3 linked regions of the Sus scrofa genome follow. The protein of the gene in region 3 interacts with the protein of the main gene of each other region in a pairwise test. Links are inferred from orthologs where the notes say so. Each region holds a gene or a part of one and is shown on either strand. Other genes may lie near its edges.

What was found.
Region 1: the proteins of EIF1AD (region 3) and STAT1 interact in binary tests that used the Homo sapiens proteins (3 or more experiments, as listed by UniProt). The two-hybrid records come from large-scale screens. The link is inferred for Sus scrofa from reciprocal best matches to the Homo sapiens genes EIF1AD and STAT1.
Region 2: the proteins of EIF1AD (region 3) and GLYR1 interact in binary tests that used the Homo sapiens proteins (3 or more experiments, as listed by UniProt). The two-hybrid records come from large-scale screens. The link is inferred for Sus scrofa from reciprocal best matches to the Homo sapiens genes EIF1AD and GLYR1.

Annotation. Positions count from the first base shown.
Region 1 is NC_010457.5:95,641,687-95,649,289, forward strand, and holds the start of STAT1 (signal transducer and activator of transcription 1), read right to left. Parts: upstream 4,634-7,603; 5' UTR 4,427-4,633; intron 4,104-4,426; 5' UTR 3,962-4,103; intron 727-3,961; exon of another isoform or gene 707-726; 5' UTR 706-706; coding exon 578-705; intron 1-577. UniProt on the Homo sapiens protein: Signal transducer and transcription activator that mediates cellular responses to interferons (IFNs), cytokine KITLG/SCF and other cytokines and other growth factors.
Region 2 is NC_010445.4:37,552,364-37,559,989, forward strand, and holds the start of GLYR1 (putative oxidoreductase GLYR1), read left to right. Parts: upstream 1-2,993; 5' UTR 2,994-3,080; coding exon 3,081-3,118; intron 3,119-4,157; coding exon 4,158-4,194; intron 4,195-5,131; coding exon 5,132-5,211; intron 5,212-7,626. UniProt on the Homo sapiens protein: Cytokine-like nuclear factor with chromatin gene reader activity involved in chromatin modification and regulation of gene expression. Acts as a nucleosome-destabilizing factor that is recruited to genes during transcriptional activation.
Region 3 is NC_010444.4:6,331,835-6,339,333, reverse strand, and holds the start of EIF1AD (probable RNA-binding protein EIF1AD), read right to left. Parts: upstream 4,453-7,499; 5' UTR 3,626-4,452; intron 2,894-3,625; exon of another isoform or gene 2,870-2,893; 5' UTR 2,775-2,869; coding exon 2,688-2,774; intron 2,592-2,687; coding exon 2,483-2,591; intron 2,386-2,482; coding exon 2,277-2,385; intron 2,106-2,276; coding exon 2,055-2,105; intron 1,388-2,054; coding exon 1,243-1,387; 3' UTR 1-1,242. Other genes in the region: BANF1 (barrier-to-autointegration factor), read left to right, coding at 5,014-5,136, 5,357-5,503.

The DNA of each region.
Region 1 (7,603 bases), on a different chromosome or scaffold from region 3:
CTTTTGGCAAGAGTTTGTACAATATTTCCATTATATTCAATTACCATGAAAAATTCTAGCACCAAGACTGTTAACGCTGATTATCTCTGGAGTGAAAAACCAACAGGGGCTTTCGCTTTCTATATCGAACACTTTCAGAACATTTGAAACATTTGCAATGAATGAACAATACAATTCAATTCAAAACAAAACCATATCGGTTTTAAGAGATATTTCTTTAACTGTATTACCTTCTTCATACTTCTAATCAGTGTTTTCCCATAACTTGGCTTTAATTATTTCCACTAATTTCTTTCTTTTTTCTTTCAAAATAATTAGTATTAGCATTATCTAACTTGTCCAAAGTATTTAGGAGGATTTATAACTAAATCAACAAATACATAAAATTAACAACTAATGCATTTAGCTTTATAGAGACCGGTGCCATTTCTCAAGCCAACACACTTTTCTGCAACAGATGTTCCCAGTAGCTACCGGTGAGATTCATCTTCCAATCAACATGGCTCCAAGTTACTCAATCCACAAGTCATTTTCAAAGTGTAGAAAAACAACTTCTTCTGTCAAGTGATTTCCTTACCAGTCCTGATTTTCTAGCCACTGTGCCAGATATTGTCTGATTTCCATGGGAAAACTGTCATCGTAGAGCTGATGAACCTGCTCCAGGAATTTGGAGTCAAGCTGCTGAAGCTCATACCACTGGGACATCCTATAGGGAAACAGAACAAAGATCACGAAAGGAAGCCCACAGCGCCAAAGAAAGCCGTCCAGCATTGTGCTGCTTCTAAATATCTCGCTTAGGAGTTTCCGTCGTGGCGCAGTGGTTAACGAATCCGACTAGGTACCATGAGGTTGCGGGTTCGATCCCTGCCCTTGCTCAGTGGGTTAACGATCCGGCGTTGCTGTGAGCTGTGGTGTAGGTTGCAGACGCGGCTCGGATCCCGAGTTGCTGTGGCTCTGGCGTAGGCCGGTGGCTACAGCTCCGATTCAACCCCTAGCCTGGGAACCTCCATATGCCGTGGAAGCAGCCCAAGAAATAGCAACAACAACAACAAAAAAAAAGACAAAAAAAATAAATAAATAAATAAAATAAAATAAAATAAAAATAAATATCTCGCTTAGTTCAAAACATAATTTGTTTCTGAAATATACTTTTTTTTTTTTTGTCTTTTTGGGGCTTCACCCGTGATATATGGAGGTTCCCAGGCTAGGGGTCAAATCAGAGCTGTAGCCACCAGCCTACACCACAGCCACAGCAATGCACGATCCGAGCCGCATCTGCGACCTACACCAGAGCTCATGGCAATGCCAGATCCTTAACCCACTGAGTGAGGCCAAGGATCAAACTTGCAACCTCACGGTTCCTCGTCGGATTCATTTCCACTGTGCCACGATAGGAACTCCTGAAACATACTTTTAAAATGGTGTTTATATTCCAAAGCCTGTTTTTTAATTGAGTTTGGGGTCGGTATTTTTTTCTTCTCCAAAAAACACATTCTCAGATTTTGCTCAAAAGCCAACATATCAGGGAAGCCTTCTCTGACCACTTTCCTTAAATCGACACCACCTCTCACCCTGGAAAACAGTATCCCTCCTTCCTGACGTATTTTTCTCCACTGCCCTTACCACTATCTGACCTAGCATGTATTCTCTTTTCTATTTTGATTACTGTCTGTTCTCCCCACACGAAGGCAGGTTTGGTGGTGGAGGGGGGTAGGGAGGGATGGCTTTGTTCACTGCTGTATCTTCAGAACAGTGCTAGACATAGTAGGCGTTCACCTGCCTTTAAAATGAATCTGCACTTTTATCGAATAAACAAATGAGAAATACTAATTAGATTTGCTTTAGGACAAGTAACACCTCTTTAAAAATTGCTCTCATAGGGAACTCCCATTGTGGCTCAGGGGTTTAAGAACCCCACACAGCATCTGTGAGAATGTGAGTTTGATCCTTGGCCTCACTCAGTGGGTTAAAGATCTGGCATTGCCATGAGCTATGGTGTACGTCAACTGGTTGACCCCGTGCAGACTCAATCCCAGTGACCGAGTCAGCCGGGACACCTGGTCAACCCCGTGCGGACTCAATCGCAGGAAGCTGTAGCCACTGGCCTACCACCACAGCCACAGTCAGGACAGATCTGAGCCACATCTACAACCTACACCACAGCTCATGGCAACGCCAGATCCTTAGCCCACTGAGTGAGGCCAGGGATCGAACTTGCATCCTCATGGATGCTACTCAGATTCATTTCTGCTGAGCCACGATGGGAACTCCTACATGGCAGTTTTGAAGATAAAAAAATTAAAACAAAAACCTGATTTTAAGAAGTCCTAATATTCACAAGGAAAACGAAGAACCTCCCTTCACCAGAGCATAAATTAGGATTTACATAAGCACACAGCTGACAATATTCAGAACGAGTATAAGTGAATCGTGTCCTACCAGGCCTCTGGGGAAGGGGTCTGGATTTTTAAAATTACAGCAGGGCATGAAAGCGTGTGTGCATGCTGCAGCAAGCACACAGGTGCGGGCATGAAGACATGAAGCCATGTCTATGCCACAAATTTCCTTCCAAAGAAAGGAAAGGATGTGGTAGGACTGCAAAGCTAGTTACCATCACAAAATACCAGCAAAAATGGACCCAAGTCCACTCCTTTGGTACACTTGCTGCAGCAATTTGATTTTTCACTTCAAATTTATTTCACCTGAGCAGAAGACTCTAAATCTGCAGCACTTTCCTTCCCTACTAGGTGTCTAATACGGATATGCCTAACGCAAATATACTGGCCAGAATGTCAACCAGCAGGAGCTACAACACCTTTTTGGGTGAGTGACCACAGGTGACTCCCATCCCTATCACCAGGTTGGCTGTTAAGACTGAATGAGGTAATACAGACACAGCACCTGGCACAAGGCCAGCAATCAATAAATTCATGCTAACAAATCCCAAATCCACCCTATCTTCCCACTAAACTTGTTACCAACATAGGGAGTAGCAAGACTATCCTCCAATCACCTGACTTCCTCCTCTCCAGTCCCAAGGTCTCCTTCCTCCCTGCCTCCAACACTATTTCCCCAGCTAGTCTTCTGCTGACATGGGTTTTGGCCACATCCCTCTCTTGCTCCAAATTGCTAGTTTGCCCCATTACCAGGCTGATTTCCACCCTCACCCTATTTTCATCCTTTAATAAAGCAACCCAGTGACCAAATTACCTACTTTTTTGTTACTGTTTTTTGTTTTTTGTTTTTTTTTGGCTATGCTCAACATTTCTGCTTTGCTCCAGTTGTCACTCACCCTTTAAAGGAGCTTCCTCACAAATTTCTGCTTTTCTAAATTCTACCAGCATCCAAAAGTAGGTACAAATGCCCTTCTTCCATAAGCTATTTGACACTTACCTAGAAACAATTAAGCTTTCATTGACTTTACGCCTCACTGCATTTTGTACCTCCATTAGAGCATCAGTCACTCTCTCCCTTAAAAAGCTCTGTGATGTCTACCCTGGGTTTCTGGAATTATGTCTTTAAAAAAAAAGTCATCTCCACTTTGGAGAGTGTCCTGCACATAGTATGTATTCGACAGTTTGTTGAATTGAAATTCAACACATTTCAGATTGAATTAGAAAGTAAAGGGAAAATCATATTATGATTCAACAAATCTGAGTCCTGCACCAAACTGCAAACTGGAGTATGCTGGTAGCTCATGTCTTATTCCTGAACCATAAAAACAACCTATCCAACTTATAAAAACGACATTCAAAGCGCAATCATACACTTATTTTTCTTCCCCCAAGCTCTTTGATATTAGTTAGAATTTTTTTAAAGACTAATTATTATTCGGAGGTCTGCAGAACTATCACTTTTACATTCCAAGAGCAAATTAAGCTCTTTTACCTTTAAACGTAGATATATAATTAAGTCCCGAAGCCATGTACTCATTTATTAGTTTCCATGAACATTTACTAACCTTCACCTTGTGCCCAAGCAAAGGGCTGATGATTCACACAAGCAGCGGCTACACACAGCACGTCAGAAGCCAAGACTGTTTTGCATGCACAGGGTGCGAGCGTCTTAGCTCTCTGGGGGTGGCACACGCAAACAAAAACTTTCTGCAGAAAGAAGAAAACGTGACTGTGGTGGAAAGGGGCAGGAAGGAGGGGAAAACGAGAGTAAATGGGAAAATGCAGTGTTTCCGGGGGCGGGGGGGATTCTATCTTACAAGACATTTTCTACTGCCAGAGAACGACTGGCTGGGGCAACCTTACTATCACCGAGAACGAGCACCTGAGATTATGTGTTCTTTCCCTGATTTCGGATTAAATCTGTCAGCACTTAAAAATCCGCCCTCGCCCGGCGTCCGGCTCCAGGTCCTAGACGACGCCAGTCCAGTCACTTCCCGCCCCGACACCAGGAACCTCACACGCCCACTCACTCTGTACTCTGGATCCCGCAGGGACGGGACGGGGAGCGGCCGTGCAACCTCTCCCGGGAGCGCCGAGTCACCTCTGTCCCATCTGAGGGTCTGACAAGCGTCCTTCTTGGTGTGGCTGGGTCTCTCCGCAAACCCAACGCTGGAAAACGAAAGTACCTGCTGGGAGAAAAGGCAGCGCCAGACGCCCCACCTCCTTCCGCTCCCGCCAATCACCCAGAGGCTACCTCTCTCGACCAATCAGATGCGGCTGTTCCGCGCTCGCGCCACCCCCCCCCCCAGGGGTGCCGCTGTTCAGCCAACCCGAAGGGTCGGTCCGTAGCCTTTGGGCGGGGCTCTCTGGTAGAGAACGGGAAGCTTCGCTCCGTGATGTAAATTGCGGGTTATATTTACACATATTTTAGAGAACAGGAAGTTCAGTGTTTGCCTCTGCCCAAACTTTAAGATCGTTATATTAGCCCCAATCCTAAGAACCTAAGACAGACGACACAGGTGTAGATTTTGTCATTGTAGAAGGTCAGTTTAGCAGCTGACATGTTGCTAAACCCAGGGGACACTTTTCTGTCTTCACCTGACCACTCAGGAAACTTAGGCACAGTTGACCCCTCCATTCTTTAACACTTCGTCCTTGGCCACGATGACGACACGTCTTTGTTTCTTCCTCTCTCTCTCTAGTATGCTTTCTCCATCTCTGCTCCATCTCCACCACCAAACTGTTCAAACTTAAGTGTTGTCAGGGTCCAGATCTTGGTTTACTTTACCTACACTTCTCACGCTCTCCTGTGATGACCTCATTCACAGCTTCCATGTCCTTCTTAGATATGGACAACTTCTGCGTGTGTACCTTGTCCACACCTCTCCTTCAGAGCTCCACATCTACGCGTACAGCCTGCACTTGACTCTCCACTTAGATGTCTGGTAAGCTCTGCAACCTAGTTATGTTCAGAACCAACTCATCATCTTCCTCCTCAAACCTGCCCTTTTTCTAGAAATGGTGTATGCCAGATAACTAGGAACTACCTTTGACACTGCCTTCTCAGCCCTCACACCGGCCCTCAAGCCTCCTTGATTCTTCCACCTAAATGTCTCATCACTTCTTGCTATTTCCTATGCTGTTTCCCCCACCCCAGTTTGGATTCTTTCAGTAGACTTGGATTCGTTTCAGCCCTCAAATGGCTGCCTCACTCCAGTTCTTAACTCCCTTTTAATTAGTTCTCCCTACAGCAGCTCCGGTGGGTTGGTTTTTTTGTGTGTGTGTTTTTTGCAAAGCACATCGCATGTTGCCAACCTGAAAATCCTCTGATGGCTTTTCTTATAAAATCCAAATTTCTTAACGTAGCCTACAAAGCCCTGGTCCCCTGTCACTTTCTTTAACCCCGTCTTGTGCCACTCTTCCCTTATCTCAGCAGTTTTGTTCTTCAAATAAGACAAGCTCTTTCCCCAAACTCAGAACCTTCTCACCAGCAGTTCTCCATTTGGAAAGCCCCTTAAGCCAATATCCCCCTCCCCCAACTTTTTTGCTAGCTACTCATCTTTTATGTCTTAGCTAAAACCTAAGCTTAAAAGTCACTTCCCCAGGTAGGAATCCCTGAGGCCAGCCTAGATTAGGTCTTCTTAGAATGTGTGGCCCATAAAAACAATTGATTTCTCCAAGAAGATGAGGCTTGAATCAACCTAGAAAAATAAAGCAACTTTGGGTAGGAAAAGGATCTAAATAATTTCCGAGAGGTGGGCTTATATGTGTTCCTCTTACAGTGTTTTTTTCCCTTTTCACATCTATATGCTCCTTCTTCTTGTCACATATTCACCCACACAAAGGCAGTGCTGAACTGGTGATAGCAATGACCATTGGTATTTAAGTAGCAGCCTTCTGTGAAAATGGATGCTAGGCCACCAAAAAAAAAAAATAAATAAAGCCCTTCCAGTTCTACTTACCTGCACTAGGGGCTCAAACAATGTTTGAGAAAAGCTGACTCTAGGAAGAGTAGATAACATATTAAACACATTGCTTCTGTGGTTTTGTTTTTGTTTTTGTGCACAGAAACTACCTTCAGTACCAACAGGGGAATTAAATAATCTTAACATCTGCAAAAAGAATGTTTCTCTTTGGATCGCCACATTCTGGATGTCCTCTAGTTCTATGGAGTCTTCCTTCCCTATGCTTTTATCCTTCTTAGCTTTCCCATCAGTGACAATACCCCACTGTAGGCCTTCATTACTTCAGAACTGGAATGCTGCAACAGACAACGGTCACACTACCTTTTCCCTGTTTCTTTCCCCTTCTCTGTATTTGCCAGATTAAATTCTCTAAAGCACTATACTTATACAGTCCTTGCCTGCGCAAGTCTTGGCAATTCTCATTGCATTTATGATAAACACAAACTTTGCCTGCTAGTCTGGATCCTCTACAGAATGTCCCTAACATGTTTTGGGGTGTTGGGTTACTTTTTATGATTTTCTTTTTTCTTGTTTTTTTTTTTTTCTTTTCCTCCCAAAAATGTCTGCTAGGAGCATGACTTTCGACATCCAAACACCTTCACGAACACCTTTTGAAGTCCTTTGTTTTCAGAACAGCAGCCCGTGTCTGCCCAGGATGGGCTACCCTCCAGCAGATGGAGATCGTCAGGTTGTCAAGTTTCCGAACAGCTGGGCCGGCGCGCGGCGGGAGGGACGTGGATGCTCGGAAGAGCCGCCCCACGTGTTTTCGGAGAAACAGCCCGGGAGCGAGAAGGCATTGGATTGAGAGGAAACCGAAAAGCGAAAGTAGGAGAGACCAAGAGGGAGCAGTACGCAGGCGCAGGCCCGGGGTTTTCCCGCTGGCTGCCTGCCCCGCGTGCAGGTCCCTCCCCGAAGCCTTCACGGGGGCGGGGTCCGCACGCTTGCCCGGGACCGCTAGCGCCTGCCCTGCGCCTTCCCTATCCTGCAGGCCCAGATTAGTAGTTCTGAACGGGAAGGCAGAGGCGGGCTGAGTGCCTCTTAATTTTAGAGGGAAGATGGGACACGTTTTCTGATTGCCTAAGGTGCCGGAAACCCTACCCATTCTTTTCTGTCTTTTTTTTTTTTTTTTTTTTTTTTAATTTTTAAAAATTTTTAAAATTCGTTTTTATTTTAAAATTTATTTTTGTTATTTCCCAGTACAATTTTTTTCCTACGGTACAGCGTGGTGACCCAGTTACACAT
Region 2 (7,626 bases), on a different chromosome or scaffold from region 3:
GATAAAAATGCTTCTACTGCTTGGGTAAGTGATTTTGCAGGCCTAAGAAATTACATAAATAAGATTAGAAAATAAAATAAATCAAACAATAGCATATCAACACTTACATTTTAGATTAAGTTCTAAGTCATTGTAGTAATTCATGTGAAACATTTAAGAGAATGAGACACATTCATGATTATTAGTTACAACTTTAACTTGAAATGCTTAAGGAAATGTAACTAAATTGAAAGTATGCTTTCAAAACACCTGACTTACATTTACATGAGTATTAGACGCCTAAGAGTTAAGACCTTGAAAAGATTTTACTTTTAGGTTTGTAAGCTCACGCTTTAGAAGTGTGATGTATCTGAGAGAAAGAACAACCATATAAAACTTTGAATTCAGGTTAGAACATCTGAGGGAGTTTATTTATTTATTTTTTTTGTCTTTTGAGGGCCACACCCGCGGCATATGGAGCTTCCCAGGCTAGGGGTCCAATTGGGAGCTGTTGCCTCCGGCCCACGCCAGAGACACAGCAACTCCAGATCTGAGCCGAGTCTTCGACCTACACCACAGTTCACGGCCACGCCAGATCCTTAACCCACTGAGTGAGGCCAGGGATCTAACCCGAAAACCTCATGATTGCTGGCTGGATTTGTTTCCGCTGTGCCATGACGGGAACTCCAGAATTTAATTTTTAAAAAGAGTTCACTGGGGGTATTCAATTTGTTAAACTGGTGCCTTAATTGAAAATTTGTCAAAAATCAAATATATTTTTACATAAGCATTTTTAGATCTGTAAAAATAAAATTGTCAACAAAGATTAAAAGGCTTTTAAAAGCTAAGCACTTAAGATACTCAATTTTTTTTTCTTTTAAAATGGCTGCACTCATGGCATATGGAAGCTCCCAGGCTAGGGAATGAATCTGAGCCACAGCTGTGATCTATGCCACATATGCAGCAACTAGGGATTCTTCAACCCACTGCATCTGGCCTCTGAAGCAACCAGAGCGGCTGCAGTCGGAGTCTTAATCCACTGCACCAGAGTAGGAACTCCTGGATACTCAATTGCAATGAGCTGAGCATTTTAATGAGTTGAACATTATTCTAAATAAAAGCACAGTATTCTACAAACAAAACCACCCCTCTTAAAAAACCTCAACAGATGCTAACCCCAAAATAACAACTTCGTTCTGTACCTCAGGTTATACTCAGGAGTATTTTTTTGTTGTTACATACCCTCTTAATATTTTCAAACTGATTATTGGTAAAAATGTAGAAAAACTAACTGAATTTTGCATGCTGACTTTGTAATTAGTCTCTTCAATGAACTCTTACTTAATGGATTTCCCTTGCACTTTTCAAAATAGGCTGTCGAGTAACATTCACAGAAGAAAAATTTTGTCTCCTACTTTCCGAAAAAATACGTTTTATTTTTGTTTCATGTCTTGTTGCATTGGCTAGAACTGCCAGAATGTTAGACAATATATTCTTTGCCATGTTCCTGACTGTAATGGGAATGTCTCTAGGTCCAATGTGATGTTGATTTAAGATCTGTGTATTTTATGAAGTCATTAACGTACCCTTCGATTCCTCAAAAATTAAGTTAGGAAGGTGTGTTGAATTTTAGTGTTCCCTCTTGGAAACTTAAATACGCTTTAAATCATAGATTTGTATTTAAAACAACACAAAATAGTTACCAGTAAATGACACTTCCTGAAACTAGCTGATGGTACTTCAGCGAAACTGAATTCCAAAGAGAAACCAGGCTTCGGACAAGTCAGTTCGCTAAAAACTTCCCGTTTACACCCAGTCTCTGTATAACACGACACCTATGAGAGATGCCCGTGGACCTGCCACTCTTTCATGCAGGCGGTGACTCAAGAAAAGTCCCGGGTAAGTTAACACTTGACTTAGACTCCCTGGGTTCTCAAACTGAGATTGGAACCTTTTTAAAATGTTTTACATTCTATCTGCGATGGTGATATTTAGGCAGACGCTGTGCTAAACTGCTTGTTATTCAAGATTCCCCATTCAATGGTTTAGTTTGAACATACTGAAACTACGCTTAGCGTCTGCCTTCCTGTTGTCAAAACAGCCTGTTTCCAACTTCCCTAAAAGTGTCAAACCACAACAAAGCTTACGTGAGAGCCCAGTTCCCACAAAGACACGTACCTTTGTCCCCGGCGCGACGCAGGCTACGGCCCCGCGGGCCGCACTCGTTCCCCCGTGGCCGTCCTCATGCCGGCCCGGGAGCCCGGGCTGCCGCGCTGCTAGCGGCCGGCCACCGAGCCATGCCTCCCGGCGGTCGGCCGGCCCGCGCCACGGCCCATGGCCCGGTCCCCGCGCGCCCGGGGGGCCTCGCCGGCCGTGCCGACGCGCCGGCCCAGGAGGAAGCAGAGAGACGCCGGCTCCACGTCGGCCGGGCAACTTGGGACTTCGGGACGGGCAGCACTGCGCCCCAGGAGAACGTGCGACGCGGACGCAGGATCGGAGCCTCTCCCTGGACGCCGGCCGTTAGAAAGAGCGCTCCAAAGGACCTGTCCACCCTCCGAAGGACCTGTCCGCCCTCCGGGCGCGGCCGCGAAGAGCCCGTCGGGCGCGAGGCCCCGGGCGCGGGCGGAGGCTGGCTTCCAGGCCGCGCCGAAGTCCGTCAGGGCAGCTGCCGGCTCGGAGACGCGGGCGGCCCCGGGCCCGCGCAGGACTAACGGCCGTAACGGAAGCGCCGAGGGGGAGGGGCTGAAGGCCAGGGCCCTGGGGCGGAGCGGGCCGCAGGACCTGCTCCCTAGCTCGGGGACTCGCTCGCTCCGCCGGCCGCACCGTCGCCGCCGCCTCAGACCGCTGCGCTACGTTGTCACGAGCCGGAGGGAGGGGGAAGAAGCCGGGAGTCTCCGGGCTCCGGCGCGCGGAGACCGCGGCGCCCGGGTCACGTGCCGCTAGGCCGGCCTATGAGCCTGGGCGGGCGCGGTGACGTCAGAGCAGCGGCGTGTCCGGTTACGGTCAGCCCCCGTCACGTGACCGGGCTCACTCCAATGGGCGGCACCGGGACGACCTGATGTTCCCGGCTGCCCGTGCGCCGGCGGTGGTTGGGTGGTAAGATGGCGACTGTGAGTCTGCGGCTCGGCGATTTGGTGTGGTGAGTCCAGGCGGCCCGGGCCGAGTGATGTGCGCTGGGGAGTTGCCTCCCTGTGCGTGGGGTTCGCAGCCCGCCCCGGGGCTGCCTTTCTCTTCGCTTCAGGTGGCGGAGAGTGGGCGAGGCGGGGTGCGGGCGCTGGGAGCGACGCCGGGCGGAAGGGGCAGCCTGGCCCGGGGGGACTGAGGCCGAGGGTGGCCGCGGCGGACCCGGCTTTGAGCTGTGGAGAGGGCTGCGCACAGGACCCGGACTCCAGCGGCCACCGTTTGGGGAGTGCCCAGCGCCGCGCGGCTCCCGCGGACGCCCGGTCCTCGCCTCGGGGTCTGGTTGGGGCTCCCGGGAAAGCGGGAGAGCCGGGGAGCCTGCGGAGCCATCGCGTCCCAGCCTGCCCGTCGAAACCCGCCTTGCGATGGCACCGACCGGTGCGGGCGGCTCAGCCGGGAGTGTCGAAACCGGGCTGCTGGCACTGTCCTGTGAAGAAACGGAGTGGGGACTTCTCCTTTACAACTGGAGGTTTGGCAGGGACCAGTTTCTCCTTGGGTGCTTCCCCTGGTCTGCTTCTGTGTCCCAGACAACCGCCCGAACCAAGACTTACTGTCGCCGCCTCCCTCCAGCTGAGCTGCGTAGCTCATTTCTCAGTCTAGAGGAAGGATTTCCATTAGCATTTGTCAAAGCCGGGTTGGGGGATGAAACCAGACTTTGTAAGGGGAAGTCTGTGTTTACACAGCAGACCGTCCCGCCACCCTCGTCACGTCCCGGGGAGGTTCTGGACAAACGACTCTTGGTAGTTTTGTTTTTCTGTATCCCTTGTCACCGGAAGAATGCACACAAGTTTACAGTTTTGCATTGCATTTCTGAGGGGTTTGGGCCTCTTGGGCCCAGCTGTGGATGCCACAATAAGAACTTCTGGTTCCCAGCTTTTTCTATTCTGGCACTTGAGCGTCGAAGGGGAGATTTAGGAAAATAAATTGCATGTTGAGTGGGTTGAAGGAGACGGACTGGCCTTTCCAGGGCAAATGCTGACTCTTTGTGTTTTCTCTAGGGGGAAACTCGGCCGGTATCCTCCTTGGCCGGGAAAGGTGAGTGACTGGCGGACATCTGAAGTTGAGTTTGAGGAGGTGGAGAGTATAAGATGCAGTCCCTTGAATTCCTAACATTGAGTTTAACTGGGCCTATTTAAATAACATTGGAGAATTTTTTTTTCCTCCACTGTCAGTTTTTTTAGAAAAGGCAGTGTAATTTAAACCACGTCATTAAATCTACAGTATGTTATTGTTTCTTGAATCAGAGGTGGTTTGTGGAAAAGTCTTTTCATCCTGAAAATCCTTTCTAACTTGAATTTAGCTTTGCACATAAATCTAATAAATGGAGAAGAAAACAAATTTTCCAGTAAGAAAAATCTAAATGTAGGCTAGTGAAAAGTCAAAGTATTTTTGTCCCACTGAGTTTAAATCTTCTTTGCATTTTACCATATGTGCTGCTCCAGTGCATTGCAGAAGCTGGCATTCCACGTTTTGCACGAAGTGATCCTTCATAGCTTTCCAACCGATCTGTTTTTATATTCTTGTTTGGAGCCTAGGAAATGTCTTCAGACTCTTTGCAGTATGGCATTTTCAGTGTCTCGGTGTTGTCACTGTTACTTCATTGTCACTGTTGACCTGTCTGAACTCTTCCTGCACAGAGGTATTTTTAAGAGTGTTTTCTGCGTTTCTTCCATAATGACAGGGTCACATTACAGGAGGTAATGATGTTGGTCTGCTTTTAAAACAGGGCCGTTTTAGTAAAAGGGATATTGTATCTACTGAACACTGTGTTACATGACAGACACAGGGAACTTCTAGAATATTTGCACATTTCCACGTCTCAGTAGAAGAGTGCCAGATTTGGACATAAAATAGGCCCTGTGTTTGGTTTTGTTTTTTTAAGATGTATTTCTTTTGTGTTTTGTTTTTTCTTTCCCTTACCAACTTATAACTGTGGGGAAAAAAATTTGTTTTTCCCCCTTTTATTCCCTAGATTGTTAACCCACCCAAGGACTTAAAGAAACCACGTGGAAAGAAATGCTTCTTTGTAAAGTTTTTTGGAACAGAAGATCAGTGAGTAGTGCTCACCAAGAATTTCGCTTTCCCTTTGCTGTTTGGGCTTTGCCCCAGGTTGAAGCTGGTTGATTCTCGGGATCCTTGTTTAGTCTCATTGTAGTCCACAGAATGGCCATCATTCTGGCTTCATACCTAAATAAAAGGTGCTGTTCTTATCCCCGAGAAATTCTCTTGAGCAGCTATCCTGAGGCCGGTAACAATGGCAGTCAGGTGGGAAGTAGGGTTTGCCACCTTTTAAATATGATAATCTCATTGAGATCATTTCTCACGCTTGTTTTACCCGAACTCGGAACTCCACAGACAGTTCCATTATGAGGGTGTTTGGTTCTTTTTTAATGGCTGATTATCATTGTGGTTTAGGCATAAGGTAATGAATTATAATTATAAAAGTAATTGTTTGGTCTTGTTTTCGTGAAACTAGATGACTTGATTTAGCATTCTAACAGTAAAGCTTTTTAATCAGATTTGTCTCATATTTGAAATCAGAAGTATTGATTTGAGATTCTTTGATAGGCCATATAAGAAATCACTGTGGGGGTTCCCGGTTGTGGCTCAGTGGAAAATCTGACTAGCATCCATGAGGATGCAGGTTCCATCCCTGGCCTTGCTCATTGCGTTAAGGATCCGGCATTGCTGTGAGCTGTGGTGTAGGTCGAAGACAGTGGCTGGGATCCGGTGTGGCAGTGATGTGGGCCAGCAGCTACAGCTCCGATTTGACCCCTAGCCCGGGAACCTCTATATGCCGTGGGGACGGCCCTAAAAAGACAAAAAGAAAAAAAGAAAGAAATCACTGTGAAGGGAAGAAAATGTAATTGAGTTTCCAGTGATTTGTTTAGCTCTCATCTTAATTCCGTCAAGCTGATTACCTAGATGGTTTGATTTCTTTAAGTAGTTAGTTTTCTATTTATGGGTTTTTTTTTCTTCTTTTTAGGGCCATACCATGGTGCATGGAAGTTCCCAGGCTAGAGGTTCAGTAGGAGATACAGCTGCTGGCCACAGCTACAGCAGCGTGGGATCTGAACCTTGTCTGTGACCTACACCACAACTCACGGCAACACTGGATCCTTCACCCACTGAGTGAGGGCAGGGAAGCATCCTCATGGATCCTAGTCTGATTCATTTCTTCTGCTCCACAAGGGAACTCCTGTTTCTGTTTATGATTTTTATAGGAAAATGTTGTTTTGGGTTTGAAAAATATCTGTGGCTTTTCTGATAAATCCAACACTGATGGTTAAAATACACATTCTAGAAAGCGATATATAACATTCTGTGGGAAAATCTCTTACGGTCTTCTTTGCTGGCAAGTTTATGCATCAGAGGGCTCATCCTATTTAGAGTTTGCATGGCATGTCCCTTCAGCATGTACGTACACCAACATACGCAGCCCCAGTTCTTGTCACAAACCAATTTAGCTGCATTTTGGTGGCAATATTTCAAGGGAGTCGCTGGCCTGGAGCTGGGAGAGCCAGAAACAGTCTAGAAGAGAGAAGGTTCTGGCAATGCTATGGATTTCACAGGAAGATTGCCTGGATGCATAAAACAAATACTAATTTTGCAACCACACTGCGCATTGCTCGGCATAGAAGGGAGCTTCCAGAAAAGCAAATGTCATGGTCCTCATCTTCTAGGAACTCAAGGGGCAAGACATAAACCTTCCAGCTGGGATTGAGTGCAGAATGAGTGATGCATGGAATAAAGGCTTCTAGAATGAGAGATGAGTGGAGAACAGCTAGGTCAGAGAAGGCCGATGGAAGAGATGGGATTTGCATCAGACTAGAGGATGGATAGAGTTTGGATAGGCAGGAGTAGTAAGGGCTTTCCAGGCAGTGGGGCCACTGTGAGCTGCTGGCAGTTCAGTTGCGTGTGTGGACAGAGCGCCTTCCTGCCTGAGGTAAAGAACTTGTGCTTGGGGTGAACAGAGGCGACATAGTCAGCCTGGCTTGGGGGGCCAAAGTCTGAAACACAAAGGAGAACCCACAGAAAGCAGGCAGTTAGGTTACAGGAGGCTGGAAAGCCGTGATGTCTTCATGATAATTTTTTAAATGCTGGAAGGCTAGAGGGATAAGCCTTAGTCCCGGTGTATGTATGAGAAATACTGCGTGTGAGTAGGACCCAGAGTTGGATCTGAGTGAATCTCAGCACTCAGGCACTCAACCAGGCAAACCGGTGGAGCTGGTGAAAAGGATGTACCCACTGAACACACGAAACATGCGGTGGTGGTGGTGGTGATGTGATTTCTAACTGAAGTTCTTCGAGGAGATCTGTGAGCAAGTGGATACACGGCAACTTCTAGGCAATATCTTTAGCCTTTAAATCTCCTTGATAGAGTTCCATATTTAAAAAAAAAAAAACATTTAAAAATGAAGTCACCATAGGACTGACGTGTGAACTTTTTGTTGCTAAGCAGTTGCC
Region 3 (7,499 bases):
TGGGCTGACCAGGGGCAGGCTTTACGAATGAGCGTAATGGAGGGAGAGGGGGAGTCCAGGGTGCAGACACAGGGCAATGATGCTGCGCAAGGAGGGGAGACAGGAGAATGATGGTGAGAATGTTGCAGGGCCGGAGGACGAAAAAGAATTTCTGCAGAGGAAGTAGCTGAGCGGGTAAGCAAGAAAGCCAGGAGGTGGCGCCGGCACTGGTGTTTCGATTCAAATGGCACTGCAACTTCTAGTAATGTCAGGGGTCCGGAGTGACCAGGGATACAGGAAACAGGCCTAGAATAGAAGACAAGGGCACTAGTGACGGGGAGATCAAGGAACGAGGGGGCCATGGTGTGGAACAGCCCACCCATGGGATGCAGAAAACAGTATCAGAGGCAGGGGTAGAAGACTCCAAGCCAGGAGGTAAACCTCTATGTCTGAGCAGTGACTAAAAGGTCAATGCCAGCGAAGAGGAGAGAGAATGTACAGTCAGAGGGAAAAACCTTCCAAGGAGAAATGGGATGATGTGGTTTGCAAGGGGACTGAGCAGTGATGGTTGGAGTAGCCAAAGAAACCACCAACCAGGAGACGTACACAGCAGCAGGGAAGTGGGCACTCCTGCATCATGTGACTAGAAAGCCGGGGAAAGCAGCTTGCGAGGCACTGTGAAACTCTCCCTGAGTGTCTCTTGGAGGCAGGTGGGCACCAAGTCCCACTGTGATCCTGAATGCCTACACTGCCATTAACTGCAAGCAGGCAATGGGGGAAGGGGACACTCCCAGTTCTTAAGCACATGCAGGCCTGGCACTTACTAAGAGCCCAGTGAGCGGAGGAAACCTAGGAAAGATTCCAGCCATTCCTGCCCATGAGGTTACCACCAAAGAGCAGTTTGGGTTTTTTCGGCTTTGCCCGCAACAAGCTGAAGTTCCCAGGCCAGGGATCAAAGTCGCCCAACAGCCGTGATTTGGGCCACAGAAGTGAGGTCCGATTCTTAACCAGCTAGGCCATCAGAGAACTCCCAAAGGGGCCGTTTTTACCCACATGTCCCTCCTCCCTCCAGAGAGCCACTCTGACACCAGCTTAAGTCACCACCCACCAGGGGTTTAATTCTCCCATGTCAGAAGGTCAGTTCAGAGAGGGGCCCTGCCTTGTCCCCATCCAGGGGGAAAGATCTGCAAAGCACCCTGGGAATGTCCAAGCTCAGAGGATCCAAGGGCGAGTCTCAGCCAGAGGAGAAGTGGGTCCGGGGTCTCAGGCTGCCTCCTCCTCTTCGCTCTCCTCCTCACTCTCATGATACTGTCTGCGGTTGGTGTTAACAAAAAGGTCAGAATCATCTTCAGAGCTGGACTTGTCTTCTGACAACCGTGGCTCAGCTGGGAGTTCTGGCTGAGTCTGTCTGCGTGAGGGAAATGGACAGAGTTAGCCCAATGCCTTCTAGGAAAACCAGACCTTCTATCAAGGAGCGCCACAAAAAGGAGGACCATGTGGCTTGATGAGTCAAACAGGGAGCGAATCAGAGCGAAACAGGCTAATAACTACCTCTCCACCCCCAAGCCTAAATAAAGGTTTCTAGAGCTACTAATATACATACATACACATATTCTTTGGCTGCATCTGCAGCATTTGGACGTTCCTGGGCCAGGAATGGAACATAAGCCGTTAGAGTGACAACGCTGGATCCTTAACCTCCTGTACCACCAAGAAACTCCTAGAGCTACTAATTTTAATAATATCAACTCCAACTAACACTCAATGAACCCACGTTGCTTACCAGATAGTATACTAAGCACTTTTAGAACCAACAGCCTCTGTAATTCTTACAAAGCTCCCATTTTTACAGGCAATGACATCAGGCTTAAGAGATTAACCTGCTTAAAGTTACTCAGAACTGACAAAGCCAGGATTTGAAGAAGACATGACTTTCCAGCCATGTGCATAACCACATATGTAAAAGCGCTTGCCACGGCCCCTGCATAGGAAGGGAGGAAGGCTCTATTTTCCCTCAGGGCACCACAGCCAGAAGCCCCATTTTCTGGCTTCCTGCTCTGAGACTTGTGCCTCACCTGTTACTGTTATCATCGTGTTTCTCAGCCACTTCGGAGAAGGCCTGTGGCCTGTGCCAAGAGAAGAGCCAAGGTCAGAAAGGACAGAGAAACCTCTGGGCAAAAAAGCTATTTCCAGCTGATCCAGCCTGGGACACTGGGACCTCCCCTCCCCCCAATTCCAGTGCTAGGAAGTCGGTCCCTCAGAAGCCATGCAGCCAGTGACCAAGGGGCTCACCCTACCAGAGCCCTTCCTTCTGTAGAGCGCGCACATGATTTCTGCAGAGCACAAAGGAGATCTCGGCCTTCACTTTCTCTCCCTCTTCAATAGGGTCAACAATGAGAAAGTCCCCTACAGACAGAGAAAAGGAAAAGGGAAGTCAGCCCTGCTGGCAGAGAGGGAAGCCAAGGCTATCAGAATTGGTCTCCTAAAGGGCTGCCTCTCTCACCTCTCTTGATCCAGATGTTCTTGCGGTATTTGGAGGGCATGCTCACCAGGAAGTGCTGCCCCTGGGCTGTCTCCACCTCATGCAGATTGTTCCCTGGGGTCCTGAGCACCTGGTCCAGAAGAGACCAAGTACCAGTCAGCATTATCAGCCAGCTGCAACCCTTGCTGAGCTACAGTCACCCTGTCCCCACCCCAGTGCCACTCACCCTGACGATCTGCTGCCGGTCGGAGGGCACCATGTGCTCCCCCAGCACCTCCTTCACCACGTGCTTCCTCTTGGTGGCCTGAGACATGTTGTTGGGTCCTGTCCCAGGGTGGGGGTGAGGGATGCAGAGACTGTCAGCTCCTCTCCCTGAGTTTCTTGGATGGCAGTCTCAGAAGGACTATTCTAAAGATGGGGAGGGACCTTTTACTGGGGAGGACACAGTGTCAGGTTAAGGAGAACTACTTGCATTCAAATCCCACCTTGGGTATTTCATGACTGTTCAATTTCTCTAGACTTCAGAGAAAAACAATAGCTAACTTAGAGCACTGCTCTAAGAATGAGCATAAGCAAAGCACTTAGCACTGTAAAGCACGTAAAAACAACTCGTGTGACAAGAGTTCTCCTGTGGCATAGCAGGTTAAGGATCTGGCATTCTCACTGCAGGGGCTCAGGTTGCTGCTGTGGCACAGAATCAATCTCTGAGCCGGGAACTTCCATGTGCTGCAGGCACGGCCAAAACAAATAAACAAATTTAAAAATACAACGGTAAAAACTAAACACGGGTTTCAGGAAAACAAGTCATTCTGGCAACCAGGGGGAGAAAGAATCACATAAACTCTTCTTCGGTATGCCTGTACATCCCAAGCGTAGCACAGCCACACAAACAGATGCTCAATCTCTCAACATACCACAGACATGGACCAGGGAGAAGAATTCAAGTTAGGAACAAGTTAACTAAGGTCAGGGCCGGCCGACATGGTCTTTGGCATCTGCTGTTTATGATTTGGGTACTGAGAAGACGAGGACTGATGCGCACACAGAAGACGGCCGGTTTCCAAAGGAAACGCCGAAGTGTCATCTCTAGTTGCCGTCCCCTGCCTGCCCTCCTCCCTTCCTACCCCGAAGGAAAGACGCTCAGTGAGAGAAACCCAAACTTACTCTCTGGCCCTCGGATCCCACGGGCGATGCCTGAAGCGGAACGACCCCGTTCTCCAGGCTGGACGCTGAACACGTCTCGTCAACGACTCGCTTTGTAGCTGAGTCAACGAGCGCACAGAAAATGGACTTGCCGGCGGTCGCGCCGGTGAAGACCCCTTGGACTCAAGTCTCTTACAAGCCGGACGGCGAGGAAGACAGCACGCGCCGGCCCGAGGAAACCCCTTACTTCCGGCGCTCTCTCGGAAGCCTCCCAGCCACACCTCCCTCCTTGTCCGCTCCTCTAATTCTTCCCACCACCAAGTAGGCCACGTTTAATCCTTAAGTTCCAAATGTCGCGCCGCCGAGAAATAAAGTTTTCTCCTCCCAGGCCTCTGCTCCCTCAGACCGGAAATATTTCCCGAGCAGTGAGACCACAGAAAGCTGCCCGGCTTCCCGCAAAGCAACCGGAAAGGAGCGCCTCCTAAACGCACGCTGGCGCGCCGCCCCCTCAACCCCGGCCCAATCTCAACTCTATGACTTCACGCGGCTAGAGGTGCCCAATGTAATTTTGGGTTTTTTTTTAAGGCGGCTCTTGAGGCGACCCGGAAGCGGAAGTGGGGCGAAAGTTCTAGCGGGTCGAGGCATCCGCAGGAGCGGCCGGGTGGCGGGAGAGGCCGTTACGGGAACCGGAGCTGCGGGTGAGTGCGAGCCGCGGTGCAGGGCCCAAGCTGGAGACTGGCGGAGGCGCGGGGAAGAGAAGGGGAAAGGCGCCTCAAGCACTGCGGCGGGCCAGAGGATGCGCCCTCGGAGAGGGATCGGCCGGGGCGCGGCGCGCGAGCGCAGAGGCGCGGGGAGGGGGCGGGGCGCGGCGCGCTGGGGGCGGGGCCGGCGGCGTGGGGCGCGGCGGGAGCCCTGGCGTGCAGCCCGCCGGGCTGGAGAAGCCGCTTCGCTTCTGCTTTGTGATTAGCTGGCGGGCCGGGTGGGACAGAGTCCTTCATTTGCTTTACGGGCCAGGTAGCCGTTGCAGGCAGGGTCAGTGCCACTTGGGCCCAGCCAAGGTCACCGAGGAGTGACAATTTCAGGGCGAGCCCTGGGTCCTGACAGACTCTTGGAATCTTGACTCTGCTCTGCGTGCGCCACCTGTTAGAGCAAGATAGTGTTGCCTCTGGGGTGGTACCGAAACCAGCTCCTGCAAGGAGTGGAAGAGATTTCTCTTTTGAATAGTGAGGAAAAGACTCCTTAGGCTTCGCTTTTTTCGTCCGTGAAGTGGGGGGAGAAGCGAGTAAGCTTCTGCGATGACTGGTCGAGCGTCCTCTTAACTGTGAGATTGGTAGTGGGCCCTCAGGAGTTCCCGGGTTTTCAGCCCTAACCTGCCTTTTCTTGGGATTCTCAGGTTAAGCTTGATCAAGATGACAACTTCCCAAAAGCACCGAGATTTCGTGGCAGAGCCCATGGGGGAAAAGCCAGTGGGAAGCCTGGCCGGGATTGGTGACGTACTGGGCAAGAAGCTGGAGGAAAGGGGCTTTGACAAGGTGTGGGGTGGCTGCGTGCAGCTGGGGAGGGCTGAGGATGGCCTGCTGGGCTCTTTCCTGGCAGTTGGGGCGGGAGGAGAGTGAGTGGACCCGTTGGGGGTGGGCAGTGGCATGTATTCTGCAGGGCTAGCCAGAGCCGGCCCTGCTTCCTAGGCTGAGGGCCTCGTTCCTGGTCCGCAGAGCACCTAGCAGCATGCCCTTCCCTCTGCCTGTCTTGCAGGCCTATGTGGTCCTTGGCCAGTTTCTGGTGCTCAAGAAAGATGAAGACCTCTTCCGGGAATGGCTGAAGGACACGTGTGGCGCCAATGCCAAGCAGTCGCGGGACTGCTTCGGGTGCCTCCGGGAGTGGTGTGATGCCTTCTTGTGATGCCCTCCGGGGAGCCCCCGACCCCAAGCCCCAGCATTGAGTCTCCAGAGTTTGCAGCCAAGCCAGGACTCCTCCCCCATCCTCTACAAAGGAAAAGATTGCTGTTGTGTGCACTTCCAACGTACTCCAGCATCTTTTGGGAGTTCTCTCCCCTCACCATGTCACCTTTTTTGGAATTCTCACACTTGCATGCATCTCCCTTCTCCTTTCCTTGCCAGTTTCATGTCAGCAATTACCAGCTTTTCTGAGTGAATTCCTGGTCCTGGCCCTTACCCCTACCCTCACTTCTGATCTGTTTTATGCCATGTTTGGCCCTCTTTTTGGCAGAACAGTTCCTGTCCTTGTAAAGTTTTCTAAATCAATAAAGTCAGTGGCCTTCATGCCTGGGCTCTGTCCATGGAAAGCAGGTGGGCTGGGAGCTCCCTGTTCCCCAGGGCCCGGCCAGGTTTGCCACACTCCTTATCAGTGCACGTCGAAACCGGCAGCTTCTGGCTCCAGAGGGCAGCCATCCTGGCCACGTGGGCCTTGGGCCAGGTGCCTCGGAGTGTCTCAATCCCTTAGTGATGTGGGAGAGGGTGTGGGTTGATCCCTTCCTGGGGTCCAGGTGGGCTGGGGTGTTCCAGATGTCAGCGTGGTCAGCTGGGCTAGGCAGCACCTGGTGGAAGACAGTTGGAGTCAGCGCTGCCAGGAAAAGGGTGGACCAGATGTGGGCGAGGGTTTACCTGATAATCGTCATGTGCTCTCCTGGCCTCCGGTAGGAGTGGACAGGGTTTTTGCAATCTGCCCTGTTCTCTTAGGCTTAGGCGGGAGCAGCGGGGGTGTGGGTGGGTGAATTTTTCTCAGCTTTACAGTCTAGTGAAGAGAGAAGTGACAGGTGATAAATACAGAAATTCAGGTAATGTGAGTTAGGCTTCTATTTGGTGCATATTTGTCCTGTTCTGTGTTTTTTTGTTTCTGTCTTTTAGGGCCACACCCATGGCATATGGACATTCCCAGGCTAGTAGTTGAATCCGAGCTACAGCTGCCAGTCTACACAACAGCTCATGGTAACGCAGGATCCTTAACCCACTGAGTGAAGCCAGGGACTGAACCCACAGCCTCATGGCTACCAGTTGGGTTTGTTACCGCTGAGTCACAGTGGGAACTCTGACCTGTTAGTTGTTGATTGTTTAAGGTGAACGGGGTCTACAGCTAAGATCTTTGCAGATTTTTTTTTTTTTTTTTAACGCCACGCTTGTGGCATATGAAAGTTCCCAGGCCAGGAGTCGAATCAAAGCTATAGCCAGCCTACACCACAGCCACTGCAACATTGGTTCCAAGCCACATCTGTGACCTACACTGCAGCTTGTAGTGTTGGATCCTTAACCTACTGAGCCACAACAGGAACTCCTGCAGATTTTTTTCCTTTTAAAATAACAAACAGTTATTTCTCTTTCACTGGCAGGGAAACTAGAGGCTCAGAGAGGCTGAGAAACCTGTGTGGATTTACCTCTAGGAAGCAGCCAGAGTGGTCTTCAGAACGTAGTGTAAAAACTCATGAACACTGAGAGTCCTGGCCTTTCCGAGACTCAGTTTTCCCACCTGGAGATGAGGTCGTAAGGATCAGATGCAGTGCTGGCATCTTTGAGGAACTACTTGCTTACAGAATTTTTCTCAGCTTTACAGTCTAGTGAAGAGAGAAATGACAGGTGATAAATACAGAAATTGAGGTAATGTGAGATTTCCATGGTTTCAGGGTAGGGAAAGATTTCAAAAAGTTGGTGAATTTAGCTCTATTATAGAGAAACTGCTCATCTAAAGTTCCCTCAAGGTACCTTTATTTTTTATTATTTATTTATTTATTTATTTTTTTGTCTTTTTGCTGTTTCTTGGGCCGCTCCTGTGGCATATGGAGGTTCCCAGGCTAGGGGTCGAATCAGAGCTGTAGCCACCGGCCTACACCAGAGCCACAGCAATGCGGGATCTGAGCCGCGTCTGCAACCTACACCACAGCTCA